Linked DNA regions of Oreochromis niloticus. The protein of the gene in region 2 binds, or shares a complex with, the protein of the main gene of each other region. Links are inferred from orthologs where the notes say so. Each region holds a gene or a part of one and is shown on either strand. Other genes may lie near its edges.

Region 1 (7,199 bases), on a different chromosome or scaffold from region 2:
TATATCAGGCAAAATGTCAACAAGTCTCAATTTATTACCATGGTAATAACATTACCACGACCATGTTTAAGTGATAAGTTGAACATAATGTGTCTGTAATTGCAGAGGCTGCAACAAAGAAGAAAGCACAAGTCTAACAACTCTTCAGCTAAACGCAATACTTCTCAGCACAGGTGAGGTCGCAGTTTGTGCAAAGTTTGTGTTGTTCGGTGCTGTCTCAGTGCTGAGATAATAGATTTGCTTTGCCTTGTAGCACTCACAGATCCTCAGAGTCAAAGCCTCTTCCAGTGTCCCCCACAGAGGGCAGGATGGAGCCAAAGGTGCTGCCAGTCACTAAGCGCTCCAGCCACAGACAGCACAAGCATGCGGGGAGCAGAGAGGGCAAACACACAGCAGCCGTCTCCTACCACTGCATGTGTGGTTGCAGTACTGAACAGCTGGAAAGACACTCGCCAGAACTGGAGGTCAGACGCCTGAGTCGCCATGGAGAAGATGACAGTGACACCGACTTGTCTGAGTCAGAGAGACTTCCTGTGTCAGCCTGCAGTCGTGTTCCTCCTCGGCTCGAGCTCAGGCCAGAGGTCATCGAGGCCGAGGACTGCTCCTCTCGCAGCCACAGATCCAATTTGCAGGGCCATGGAGGTTTTGACTTCCCAGACTTCCTCCCTCCACCTTTTAATTCGTGGACCCTGAGTCAGCTGGCTGTTTTCTACAACATGGAAGGCCGAGGTACCCCCCGACCAAGGCCTGTGGGCCCTTTGGAAAGGTATCTGGAGAAGCTGCTGCAGCTGGAGTGGCGTCAGATCCAGACTGTCCAGGAGGAGAGTGGGAAATCAGCAGTATCAGAAGTGATATCCAGCTGTCACAGGTCCCCTGCTGCTGCCACATCACGTCTCAGCTCTCCTAAGTGCATCCTCCAGTGTCAGCGTGCCTTCCCCCTCACTTTCCTCTCCTCCCTGGCTAGTCACTCCGCCCTCCTCTCCAGCTGCGCCTGCACTCTCTGCCGGATCCGCTGCTCCCGCTGTACTGCACCGTGCTGTTGCTCGACTTACAGCCACAACCGTCAGTCCAGACCGAGTGCTGCGCTAGAGCCCAAAATACTCCCCAAAAGGAGCTACAGCGAGAGCCGGGTGCACTCCTCAGACAGGGGCTCACAAGCCCAAAGGTTCAGCAGCCCTGTGCGGACCAACAGCCACCTGAGGAGAATGCAGGCATCAGGAAACATCCGCAACCCTGTCCAAGGTGCCGCCACCAGCCTTCAACACACTGCCAGCGACTGTAATGACGTTGCCTCGAAGGGGGATGTGTGGGACTACAGGATGGGTGGGTTTCGGAGGAGGAGCGGCTCAGAGCAGAGGAGAGGTGGAGGAGACAGGAAACAGAACGGATGGGAGAAAAAACGGAGCGGCTCTGAGTGCAGAAAAGGAGGAGCTGAGAGGAGGAGAGCGGCTAACCTCAAAGAACAGGAAATAAAACCTGATGCTGTCACTGCAATAATAGACAATTTACCAGGATCCAAATATTCTCCTATACAGAGGCCAAGCAGGCCCAAACAGGTGGAGTTTGTCACATAACAGCAGGTTTAGTGATGAATGTGTAATCTGAATGTTACATACTGTCCCCACCTTAAAGTTTTATTATGGATGTACAGTCAGCAAAACTGTTCATTTGTTAATGTGATATTATTTTTCTGTGCTGTGGGGAATGTTTACACAGATATGGAAGAGAGCCGCTGGATATCCAAGTTTGTGTTTTATTTAAAAGAACCCAGATAGCATCATGTACTGTATGTGATCATATGAGGGGATTTTCACTTCAGGTTTATTAGTCTTTTGAATGAAGCAGCAAACATTACCAAAAGTTATTAAAGAATACCAAACAGTCTTGTGAAGATGGTGTATGATGCTGAGCAGGGAGAAAAGGTGAATACTGGACTCGCTGGCTTACTTGTAGGTGGAGAGCGCGGGGTCCAAGAGGTGTGTGATCGAGTGAGGTTCCAACCTCACTCTTGTTAAATAAAGGCAAGTACAGAACATAGACATAAAGTTACGAAGCAGCGAGGCCGGGTTACCTCCATGAGGTAGCTGATGAAATGGCGGAGAGTGCATATTTGCGCTGGCCTTAAGTATTGCCTCGCTGATTGGACGGCAGAACAGGTGAGGAACCAAGGCTCCGCCCACAAAACACCCGCCGCTCAGCTGGATCATGACAGGGATTTCTTCTAATCTGGATCAGACTGAAGGATAAACTGATCAGATTGAATAACTCCTATGAAAGAAAATGACACAAATGTCTGTTCAGATCATTAAACATCAAATGAATTAGACGTTCAAAAACACAAGTCTGGCCATAACTTGGGACAGAAGCAGATATTTCGAAGATGAGTCACTTTTGGTGGAAAACGGAATCGGTAACGCTAATCTTTGGGGCCCACCTATAGACTGTACAGAAAAGATGAAGCTAACTTCCAGGTCTGAAAAGTGAAGTGCCTTACAGGGGCAACTCCTCTGGATGTAGAAAGACTTACAGTTGTATGCACAAAAGAACGTGCACAAATCACTTTTGTTCTTAGCATTGATTTGAATCAATCTAAATCAACATGCTTGGCTTGCTGCTGTAGTCTGCATACTCCTACATTCCCATTTCCCCATATGAGGAAACATACGTACCTCAAGGTGAAGTGGAGAAAATAGTGAAAGCCTGCAACACTAAAAAGGAAGAGAGCAGCGGAAAGTCTGACTGATGAAAGAGATACTGTATAATTGTGTCTGATGAGGAAGGCACATTTCCAAAGTGTTCCCTAAGATGTGATGATGGTTAAAAATAAGGTGAGCTGAAATACTTAAAAAAACTTAGACTTAAAAACAACTTTTTCCACTGAGACAGTCGCTGTGGATTAAGAAAAAAAGGAAGAAAGGTCGGTCTCTTGCTAGTTTCATTGGCCTCGAGGTTGAAAAAAGTTATCTTGGGTCTCTCAAACTTTGTTTCATGAGTGGTTACTTAGAACTGAACTGGATAGGACTCATGGCAAACTCTTCACAACTTTCAAGTGAGTAAGAGTTAAGAATAACACTGGCTGACATATGACCTGGCAATAAATAGGGAAGAGAGCCTGGAATGACTGGAAGCAACCAGCTGTCAGCCTCAAAGTGATGCGAGATGAGCGAATCAATTCCAGTGTGCACACGGCTTGTTGGTCTGTTATGCACAGTCTGAGGTGCCCACATATTAAATCTCCTCAAAGTCATTAATACAGATACAAGCTCTTTGTCCATCTGTTTGAAATGCAGTGAATCCCCTCTCCGGTCTGCTGATATGGACAGGGAGATTTTGTGTTTCATATAGTTCAAGTTATTCTGCAGCAGAGTAACAATGGTAATAGTGGTATATAGTTCAATGAAGGTAAATACAGAGAAAATCATTAGGGAAAACCTGCTGTATCCTGTGAGGCAACTTATCTACTTACTGAGAGAAAAAAAATACAAATGCGAAGCCCAGAGTCTACAGGGGTGGCTCCAAAACGGACCAACAAACAGAGAAATGTACTCAAGAGTGGCTCTAAATTTAGTGTTTGAATATTGCTGTTCATCGGTCCCCATGCAGCTTTAGAGAGTATGAGCCTGAGAAGATTTTACCAAGTAGGTAAAGAAGTACAAAGAGGCAAAATCATCATCAAATCAAATCATTTCTCGCATTGCACAAGTACAGTTACTGAACTCAACTCTTCCACATAACATTTCTACACATGAGATGTGCTGCAGAACGAGCCACTTCTGTGTAATGACATGTTATGTATTTCTGTGTGTTACTGCAGAGTTTAGAGAGCGATTAACCAAAGTGCCCTTGGTCTTCCCTTGTAGATTACAGATTGTATTTACAGCACAAAAAAAACCCTCATAAAAATGGAGAAAAGTGTAAATGAGAGAGGCAAAGTGAATTTTTTTTCTTTCTTACAGATTACTCCTTTATAATGTATAAATGTTACTATTGTAACTGATGTAAACTTCGTAAGCATATACCCATGAAACGGATGGAAATGACCGTGCGGTCCTTGTAGTGTTCAGCCGTTGTTTCACACCGGACATATTTTGGAAGCGGCACTGCAACCATGGACGAGGTGTCCCAGCGTGTTTTGGAGTATTTGACTGAAGTTGAAGAGGCAGCTGAAGATGTTCTCACCACTAAACAGCAGGTAAATAAATACTGAGTTGAGGACGGCCACACGGGAGGATCGTTATGTACGTTACAGAGGTATGCTAACGTAGCCAGTGACGTCAGCTAGCTAAGTTGTCAGCTCATGGATGAGACAAAAACACATTTTTTGTCATTTAAAAAAAAATATATCTTGACACATTTTTTGATGTTTTGTGACAAATTTTCTCTCTGGATACCTCAAGGTATCACAGTAGAACTTAACAGTGGGCAGTTTGACTCGGGGTGACAAATTCCCGGCGCTCAGGTTTCACTGTCAGCTCCTGTCATCGCTCATCACCAAGATGCTAGTGGAAACCACTTTAATAATATAAAATACTAAGATATCAAAAATGTGTGGACATTTTTCACAGATACAACTTCTTTGTCAAATTATGAAGCTGCTATTTACAATGAAAGATTTTGTTTTGAATTCCATATCAAAGCAAAATAGATGTACATTCACTGGCGGTCTCATTGTTTGATCCAACTGTGTATATATATATATATATATATATATATATATATATGTGTATGTGTATGTGTGTGTGTGTGTGTGTGACATACTGTAATATGTTGCTAACTAATGCCGTCTGTTGTTCTTCTAGATTGTGGACCTGGACACAAAGAGAAACAGGAACAGGGAGGCACTTAATGCACTGAAACATGATGTAGCAGATTCAGGTGAGTACCCTCTCCCAGCAGAGCTGTGCCACAAAAAGAGTGAAACAAGAGAAGCTGTTAAAAGCACAAAACCTCACAGTGAAAGGAGAGCCAGGTGTAAAGTTTATTTTATGTGTGTTTATGCATGGAATGACATAAAACGCTGCTCACATTTGCAGAGAAAGTCAAGGTTTGCTTGGGAAGCATGTTTATCAAATTCCCCAAAGCCAAGACAAGAGAGATGATTCAGAAAGGTAAAACATTACCAAGTCATTGAATCTTGTACATATACAATTTTATTAAGAGCACATCACCCTAAACTCTTTTGATCTTTGTTGTGGTGTGTAGACCAGGAGCAGCTGGACAAAGAGATAAATGATCTTCGCAAAGGGCTGAAAGCAAAAGTGAATCGTCTCAATGAGATGCAAGGTAAGTAAGCTAGTGGCTTACTATAATAATACCTGTTAACAGTTAACCTGTTTAGTTGCAAAATGTTCCTCCAGTTATTTCTTTTTAGTACCACTTAGAATTCCAGCCTTTTGTTGCCCCGTCCCATCATGTGTTGCTGCCATCAATTTCAAAATGAGCTAATATCTTTCATGAAACGGTAAAATGTGTCAGTTTAAACATTTGACCTGTTTGATATTTTATACTGTGAATAAAATGAAACAGAAGGCAAATCAGGCAAACAATTAGTTTTTATTCACACTTTACACAGTGTCCAAACTTTTTTGGAATTGTGGTTAAATTGAATGCATCACTCTGAGCAGATGTTTGTAATGTTAATAGTATTCCACACATAGAAAAGTATTTAAGACACGCCAGTTGATTTGTGTCATCATCATAGTTAAATATGAAGAATATATGAAGGAAATCACTTTCATTCTGGTTGTATAGAAAAATAGAGGCCTCGGAGGCTCTTACTAGTACCCAGAAAGAAGCAATCCAGAAAGTCTATTTGAAAGATAGATTTGATCATAAACTGCGATTGGGAAAGAACCAAACATTGCACACAATAAAGTTCAATCGATAAATTAGATTTTATGAGGGTCCCTGGATCACAGCCTCATAAAATGCCAAACGGTTTTAGAAGGTGTGCAGTATGTTTGGGATCTTTCACAACCACTAACACCCAAACCAACTCTGAACACAGAGACACTGTGCTGCATTTAATCCTTACATACTGGTCATATTTTCATACCTAGTCTGGTCTGGGTCCAGAATATCTTCATAATGAGCGTCTACACCAAATTTTCAACTACAGATTGGTTTTGGAAGTATAAATAGCTACTAATATATTTTATATATTTTATTAGCACTTTACTAGTCCCTAAGGACCCCAAAGCACTTTACACGTTCAGTCATCCACCCATTCACACACATTCACACACTAATATATTTTAGGTCATTTTAGGAAAATCAGAATGACAGAATGACACAGATTAAATAGTCATTTAGGTTTGAAGCAGTCATAAGTCAGTGTAGCAGATAGCAGGATGTGTGGAAAGTCTGAAAACATAATCACATTTTTTAAGTGTTTTATGTGAAGTCGGATTTTAGTAAATGCTGTCTGTAAAAAAATAAAAAAAATAATGCCATGACATCTGGAATATTCCTGCAGTCTCCATAGCAAAAATGTCTTGTCTGGTCTCCAGTAACTTATGTTTGTACAGGAAGTGCAGTGTTATCTGATGGAGGTTTCATTGCTTTGATACATCATTAAACTCGCAGAATTTCTCCCAGTGGTTCTGTTGTTGGAAGCAGGAGAGGAAACTGAATCCAATCTGCCTTCAGTCAGATACCTTTAGATTCAGAGGAATAAGCAGGGAGGGGTTATGACTCAGTCATTATTCCTGTGGGAAGTCCTTCATATTATTACTGGGAAAAGTCCTCAGTCACAGTGATCTCCGTTGTTCTGTTCCTACGACTACATTTATTTTAAGGCAGTCTTATATGATCTCTTAACCTTTTTTTGTGTCTTACTGTTGCAGGAAAACCTGAGCTGAGAGGCTACAGTCTTTCTCCTCTGTCCACTGATGAAATCAGAGCTATTAACAGCCTTTTAAAGAGATGACCGGAATTCAACAAATCAATGCATCTGGGGACAAATGCCACATGTTGACATGTTGACTGCAGCACTCAGTTGTTCAAATAGGAGCACAATGTGCCAGAGCTTCAAATACACATTTGTTAAGATGAGACACACACACAAATTACAGTAGGAGGATTAGGTTGAATGATGGCTCGAATGTCAGCTCAGCCTGGGAAAAGAGGAGATTCGTTGGTGTGGTTAGAACTTTATCTTACTAAAGTATATTTTATACAACCATATTAAAGAATGGAAG
Region 2 (7,743 bases):
TCCTTTTTTCAGGGTCGTGGGGGGCACTGGAGCCTATCCCAGCTGTCATAGGGCGAGAGGCGGGGTACACCCTGGACAGGTCGCCAGTCTGTCGCAGGGCCAACATACAGGGACAAACAACCATTCACACTCACACATTCACACCTAGTGGCAATTTGGATTATTCAATTAACCTATCCCCACAAGCTGCATGTCTTTGGACAGTGGGAGGAAGCCAGAGTACCCGGAGGGAACCCACGCAAACACGGGGAGAACATGCAAACTCCACACAGAAAGACCCCGGCCTGATGGTGGAATTGAACTCAGGACCTTCTTGCTGTGCGGCAACAGTGCTAACCACCGTGCCTTGTTTGTCATGTCTTATCAGTTATATGCAGTGCATTACAGCAGCTTTATTTATGGTGGCTGATAGGTTAGCATTGTTGCTTCACAGCAAGAGTGTCCTTTGCCTGACCCAGAACAGGGTGCTTCTCTCTGGAGTTTGAATGTTCTCTGCTTACATTGTACCTTTGACCAAGGGACTAGCTAGCATTTGGGCTGTGTTCTGCTGTTTGAAATTCAGAGAAATAATCCCCTTTACTAGGTATAAAGAAATCCCTGAAATTGCACACAATAGAATATATGATAAGTATCTTTTTACTGCTTCTTAGTATTAATATAACCCATGACTGTATTAGTTCTTATCACTATCAAACAAATGCATTACATTCCTGTCCCTGTGGATACAGATAATGTGGAGACCATGTTTTTAAACTTTACTTGTGGATGTTGGTACTTCAGCCCTTAAGAAAATAATGTTCTGTGAGGACCCTGTTAAGGGCCACAAGCTGTAACAGTGTCCTTTATACTACCACAACTATTGCAGGAGCCTAAACCTCTTCAGACTTCATGTTCTTTTCTGCACACCATGGAAGTAGGTGAAGCACCAGCACTATCAACTTAGTTTCTGAAGAATATTTTACAAACCAAAAGCAACAGTCCAGCAGTCCCTCTTGGTTTCTCCTTCCATTGGCTCCATGTTGGCTACAGGGGAATCCTTCTGTCTCGGATCCCACACTTTTACTGTACCTATTAAAAGACAATCATGTAGGATCTAGTCTTATTTTCATGTACTTTACTTTCCCACTATCATTGCACTGAAAAGTAATTACAATCTAGTTTTTTTTTGTTTGTTTTTTTAAATGCTCTTACCATCTCTGCTTCCGGTGACGATCTCAGGCGCACCATCACCAATCCCCAGACCACCAACACCATCAATACTATTCACTATCTCTTTGTGGGCCTTTACAGCATATACGGGCACATCCGGGGTCTCTAGATTCCTGTGAACCACAGGACATCAGTACTGAATAAGTCTAATGTCGACGTAACGTATTTTTAAAATATCATTTCCTTTACATTTTTTTTAATTCCATTCGAATTATAACTGTCTTTGGGACTGAACCAGCGTTGAATATAAGATCTACAGTAAACATAAGAAATGTTTTTTGGTTAAAAATAGAATTTAAGCCTTGCTTTCCCAGTTTGATTCTTCTTATTACAGGCACAACACTGATAATTGGTGTATACAATACCATATATTGAGATTTCCATCAAAATCCCCCGTTGCTATGTGTCTTTGCTGAAGAGACGTGGCCCCAAATGTTCCACACTTTATAGCTTTAGGTTTCTCTACCTGAAACATATCAGAGGTAAGAGTTTGTTTAGTTTCGTGAATGGGACAATTCAACATATAATGGAAAAGCAATGTGGAAGGAGTGCAGTGAAAATGTATTTTCATGATCCAAGTGAGCTTGAGCTTCAGGGCATAAACTGACAGTCAGGCATTCTCCTTTAGGATTTTCTGGTTGAATCTTTTAATTCAAGTCGTCCAGGCCAAAAGCAGCAAAACAGCCTCAGACCATCACACCACCATGTTTGATTGTTTGGTATGATGTTCTCTTATGAAATGGTGTGTTAGTATTACGCCAGATGTAACATGATTCAAACCTCCCAGAAAGTTCAACTTCGCTTTGTCAGTTCACAGAATAATGGGGAACATCAATTTGTTGTTTTTGTTTTTTACCTAATGTGAGATGGCCCTTTGTGTTCATTTTGGTTTTCACTACGGAACTCTCCCATAGATGCCATTTTTACCGATTCTCTTTCTTATCATTGAATCATGAACACTGACCTTAACTAAGACGTTCTTGTCTTACACTAACATTTGCTTGATCATTTGAAACATGCGTGACGAATATGCAAGAACATAAGAAATTGGGAAGAGGGCAAATACTTTTTCACAGCACCGTCTCATGCAGGCACTCTTGGTTCAAGCTTTAGCAGCAAAATGACCTACCTACATTTGAAACAAACAGGCAAGATAAGTATAAAAGAATCATGTTTATGCACGTTTTGTTACGTTTGCTCTCCTTTATCTGTATCTTGATGCCTGGCACACATGCCATGGTGCAAAACTACAACAGTAAGTTTTGTTTGTAGTACGATACATTGGTGGCAGCATAGCAATATTTTACTCGTTGCAAGTGATGCTGTAGTATTTGCTTTTTAAGTATAATCTGGATAAAGTATGCCAACCCTAGGATAATCTACAGTAGAACAATATTGAACGGGCACTGGCTGCCTTCAAATTGTTGTCATGGAAACATCCTTGCCAGACTTTTCTAGAAATCTTCGACGGGCTAGCTAGCTCTGTACGCCGTTTGTATGAAATCTCTGAGAGAAAAGAAAGGAACAACGGCCCACAAGAGTAGAACGTTAATGTACCTCCTTTATGAGCTGAGCCTCGCCTTGGTGAACTTCATATATTTGAATCACTCCGGTTCCACTAGGAAAGTTTCCCAGACAGACAAACTTCGCGCTGCAGGGAATCCATTTACTGTCAAAAACCGTATAGTTCAAACTCTTCTGAATATGCGTAATAATCTGAGGCTTCGACAGCGGCGATGACATTTTTCTGAGAAACACTGGTATCGGCGTGAAAAAGTAGACAACTGTCGCTCTCTCCCAAAACAAACTAGGTACAGCTGAGCAAGCGGCTGCCTTAACAGATGCCTGACAAAATGTGTATCTTTCAATAAAATATTTATGTATTTTGGTACAAAAATTATATGAAAAAATATATAAACAGCCTGCATTCAATTCTAAAGACAACTAGAGACATCCTAGATAGTTATAATAATATAATTTTGTTACCTCCCAATCTACAGGCGTCGTTGATGTGGCTGTTTGGGTCCTTTTCGTCCCACGAGGACATGCTCACGCGTCTCCGTTCACAGTCTGCTTAGGTTTCTACTCAAAGTCTGATTTTAAAAACATTTTTCGAGATGGACAACGACAAAAACCCAGTCCCGGACGCTGTAGCACCCCAGGAGAGCAAAGATGACGCCGATTCTTTCACAAAGGTTAAGTCGAAAAAGTCTCAGAAGCGAAAACGTGAACAAGATGGAGCGAGCATGGACACAGAGGAGCCCGTGGCAAGCAAACGACCGCAGTTTCCGCCCATTTCAGGAGACAAATTACGGGTAACTACACCATGAGTATATATAGACTCTGTGTATTCTCTCGGTTTTGTCAAATAAATACCAATAAGTGTACATTTAATGTTATTTGTAATGTTTACAAAGTAGCTTCCCCGACCGAACCATTAACTATTATGCGCACGCGCGGTGTAGTCATGTGAATACATTAAATAAAGCTGCTGTTGTGGTAGTGTGGTTGCCCAAGTAGAATATTCAAATACACAACAAATACTGTGTGTAGGTCGTGACTATTATTATAATACTTATGATTTCACTACACAGTACTCTGACTGTTTAAAGCACTGGCTACTAAAGTAAAAATACAGTTAGGAAAACAAAACGCATAAATGACTCGTGGTTAATATCAGTCCAGTACTCCGAGGATTAATTAGAAACTTTGAAATTAAGAGTGCATATGAATGTTTCAGTAATTAAATGCACCGTCAGGCACAATAGAAACCCGGGGTTGCTGTTTATATGTACTCAGCAATCTCTCTTTCTCCTTCTGTTGTGGATTAGTGGTTTCTGTTATGATGACAATTTTTTTCACTGTTTCCTGATGATTTAAAGATCAGACAGTTAAGCGGAAAAAAAGAATCACCACATTAAACAATTGTAAACATGTTACATTCGTTACAGCATTGCTTTGACTTCGGGTTACAAAGCAAAGATGTTTTCTGATAAATCCTAACCAAATGTCATAGAATAGTTTTGCTAACATTACACCGTATGATCAGAAATGTTCTGTGTATTTGTTTGTTTGTTTTCTAAGGGATCAGATGAGATGCGCAAAATCCCAGTTCCAGCTCACAGATACACACCGCTGAAAGATAACTGGCTGAAGATTTTCACTCCCATTGTAGAGAACCTACAACTTCAAGTTAGATTCAACCTCAAAACAAGGAATGTTGAAATCAAGGTAGGTTTCTCCCATTTCATGTAGACTCTGGTGAGTTGACTGAGCCTATTTATTACAATGCTTATATACAGTATTTCATCTCTGATATAACTAATATGCCTTCTTTCTTTCAGACATGTAAAGAAACACAGGACATCACCTCACTCCAAAGAGCGGCTGATTTTGTTAAAGCGTTTGTTCTCGGATTTCAGGTTGAAGTAAGTACATGAGTTTTCTGCATGTTTTAATTCTGCCTGACTGCTTTTGTACTGAATGTGTATTTGTCAAGCCAAAAGTCAAGTTTTGGGACAGTATTAGAGACACTTGACTGACACTTACTTCAGCTCAGTGTTGTTATATAATCTACTATTAATACAATAAAAGTTTCCTCCCTGTCAGTAGCCTCCATAAAGTGACTTGTAGTTGTTTTTGCTTTGTCTAAATGTGTAAATTATCTTTAGAAGCTGTGACAGTATTTGATTGTTAATTTTGAGCCTTGCTGGATTGTCACTCGTGATGTAACATTCACACTCTCTCCCCTCAGGATGCTCTGGCTCTCATTAGATTAGATGAGCTCTTCCTTGAAAGCTTTGATGTCACAGACGGTGAGTTTCCACCTCCGTAGCACTTGTGGCTGCTGTTAGAGTCGTCATAATTTCTTACCAGTTCTCTTTCCCTGCTGCGTGAAGAATACAATGTTCAACCTCTCGAGATCCATTTAATTGTTCTCCCATGTTTTGGCAGTGAAACCTCTGAAGGGAGACCACTTATCCAGAGCTATTGGAAGAATAGCAGGGAAGGGAGGAAAAACCAAATTCACCATTGAAAACGTCACAAAGACTCGCATTGTGCTTGCAGACACGTGAGTAAATCCAGTATTTTGACATGTTACAGTAAAATTACTAATTATTTTTCCACATCATTTGCTTATTAATCCCTTATTAATTTTCCTTAACCACCTTTTTGAAGTTGACACAGTTTCACTGCAGCATTAATCAAACATTTTGATTGGTTTTTTTTCTCTTGCATTGTTTTAGTCATGATAAATATTGAACTCCAATACAGATCTTGCAAAGAAACTCTGTAAAGAAGAGCTTTACTTCTTTGTAATTAAACTTAAAAAAATAAAATAAACTGGCCCGATTTGTTTTGTCAATAAGTGCATAAACATACTATCATAATATATTACTTACTAACAGTTTTTCCTCACACAAATTATATTTTACCCTCTCACGCAGAAGTTTGTGTGGGTACTCTAAAGACAATATACACAACCTTTTGCATACATCCATACCTGCAGTATGTTTTCTAGTTATGTGCCTGTTATTCATTTTTCACTGAAACGGCTAACACTCTGCTTTGTCTGTCTACAGAAAAGTTCACGTATTAGGATCTTTCCAGAATATCAAGATGGCCCGGACAGCGATATGCAACTTAATCTTAGGTAAGACGAGCATTGTTTTTATAGCACAGTATATCATGTGGTTGATGCTATTGAGGTGGTGCTTTATTGGATGAGCTGGGTGGACAGTCTGTCTCAAATACCGTTACTCCCTGAGAAGTACAAGTACTAATGGTGATATTTATTCACTTTGAGGTACTCATTTAAACATTGAAATTTAGATTATAAGACTCCCCTGTGAATTCTTATTTTATAGATTTCAGTTTTGATCTGATATATATTTAAATGCAGCAGTAAAAGTGCCTAAATCAAAAGAGGCTCGGCAATCAAGCATTGGGATGAAACCATGGAATGTTTAAAAAGACCTGTTGTAACACTGTTTTCCGTAAGGAGTGCAAAAATCTAATTTCTTACTTTTTTTTTTTATAAGCTGACAGTCAGCTTAAAGAAAACAACCCTAAAACATTGAACAAACAGTTTAGCCAAGTCCAGAACTGACCTATTTAACTGCTGTGCAGCCTTTTCCAGTGTTGAGAGCATCAGTCACCTGACAGCAAATCCATCGAATCTAGCACTAACCATATTTGGAATTGAACTCTTTGTTTACACATTAATGCTGAGAAGTGACCTTTAAATCCCTTTTGCCCCTACAGGAAGTCCACCTTCAAAGGTCTATGGCAACATCAGAGTGGTGGCTAGCAGGACTGCAGAGAGATTCTAAACCTGAACCATGATTGGTTACCATATGTATTTATCTTCCCCTATTGGCTGGTGGAATTCCTATGTGGGATCTGTGTTGAGTTGAGACCGTCACTGCCCTTTGGACTGATACCTTGGGTTCTTCTGTAATGATCTCATGGTTTCTGGATCAGCTGGTATCAAATATGATTAATAAAATTATGATACGTGCATTAAGAGAATCTGAAAGTATGTGTTTGTGCAAATGTGTTTAAAAAAAACTAAACGAAGCATGTGTGTACTCTTCTTTCCTGGTGAATGAAGATACAAGTCTAGTCAGTCACATCTTGGTCAGGTTTAAAATTTTAAAAAAAAAGGACAGTCAAATAGAATACTTTCAACATTTCAAAGTTTATTTAAATTTTATTTTTCATACAGTATCAAGTTTCCAACAGTCCCACAGCATAAGATGCAGCATGCAGAAAAAGGAAAAAAAAAAAAGTTCTCAAACTTAAATCTTCTCATATCCCCACACAAACTAAAAAGAACCCAAGTCCCTCAGAGAAAAGTAGCACTTACAAACTAAAGCGCGGTCTGAACTATACAGAGAACAGAGAGCCAGAACTGCATTTAACAAATACTTATATACAAAAGGAAAAAAAAAAAAAAAAAAACATCAAATTTTCCCCTTTAAGCTGAGTACAGTGTGTGGCAGTTTGAGACAGGATCAGATATGCAACTTTTACTGGAATCGAAGCATCTCGCTGACCCGGGTAAAATACAAAAAGTTACATGTAGTTCAGTTCAGTTGGATTACCTCTCATAATATGTGTACATTTACCAAAGTTTGGCAACATCCATATTGTATACCATTAAATTCTTAAATATATTAACATCACCATCCATGTGTAAACAAGAGGATTATTTCAAAAAATTGATCTACATGCACAACAAAAAATATACTTCCATGTCATGCAAGCACAGGGAGGCCCAAGCCGTGCAGAGCTTTGGGATAGGGGAAAAATAGAGCACTCCAGATGCACATCTCTTGACTGAAAACTGTTGTTCAAACCAGCAGTTGACCTCCAAAAGCAAAACAAAAAGCTATCCCAATGCTGTTTGCAGTAGGAAGCATTTTCCCTAGAAAATAAAAATCTGGCTGAAGTTATGTTGTTTCTCCCTGTTAGTAGGTTGGAAGGTGAGAAAATGAATTGATTGTGACAGAAAAAAAGAAGTGGGAGAAG

Evidence for each region.
Region 1: dnaaf10 (region 2) and pdrg1 share a complex: the UniProt entries of both Homo sapiens proteins name them as parts of the PAQosome complex. The link is inferred for Oreochromis niloticus from reciprocal best matches to the Homo sapiens genes DNAAF10 and PDRG1.

The regions. Positions count from the first base shown.
Region 1 is NC_031970.2:37,017,899-37,025,097, forward strand, and holds the start of pdrg1 (p53 and DNA damage-regulated protein 1), read left to right. Parts: upstream 1-4,034; 5' UTR 4,035-4,108; coding exon 4,109-4,192; exon of another isoform or gene 4,193-4,236; coding exon of another isoform or gene 4,237-4,251; intron 4,252-4,799; coding exon 4,800-4,875; intron 4,876-5,033; coding exon 5,034-5,108; intron 5,109-5,202; coding exon 5,203-5,283; intron 5,284-6,845; coding exon 6,846-6,928; 3' UTR 6,929-7,199. Other genes in the region: uncharacterized protein fam217bb, read left to right, coding at 106-173, 254-1,574. UniProt on the Homo sapiens protein: May play a role in chaperone-mediated protein folding.
Region 2 is NC_031978.2:9,086,767-9,094,509, forward strand, and holds the start of dnaaf10 (dynein axonemal assembly factor 10), read right to left. Parts: upstream 3,040-7,743; 5' UTR 2,953-3,039; coding exon 2,767-2,952; intron 1,676-2,766; coding exon 1,575-1,675; intron 1,323-1,574; coding exon 1,192-1,322; intron 1,069-1,191; coding exon 967-1,068; intron 1-966. Other genes in the region: RNA-binding protein PNO1, read left to right, coding at 3,327-3,524, 4,294-4,440, 4,554-4,637, 4,964-5,024, 5,164-5,281, 5,793-5,863, 6,475-6,542. UniProt on the Homo sapiens protein: Key assembly factor specifically required for the stability of axonemal dynein heavy chains in cytoplasm.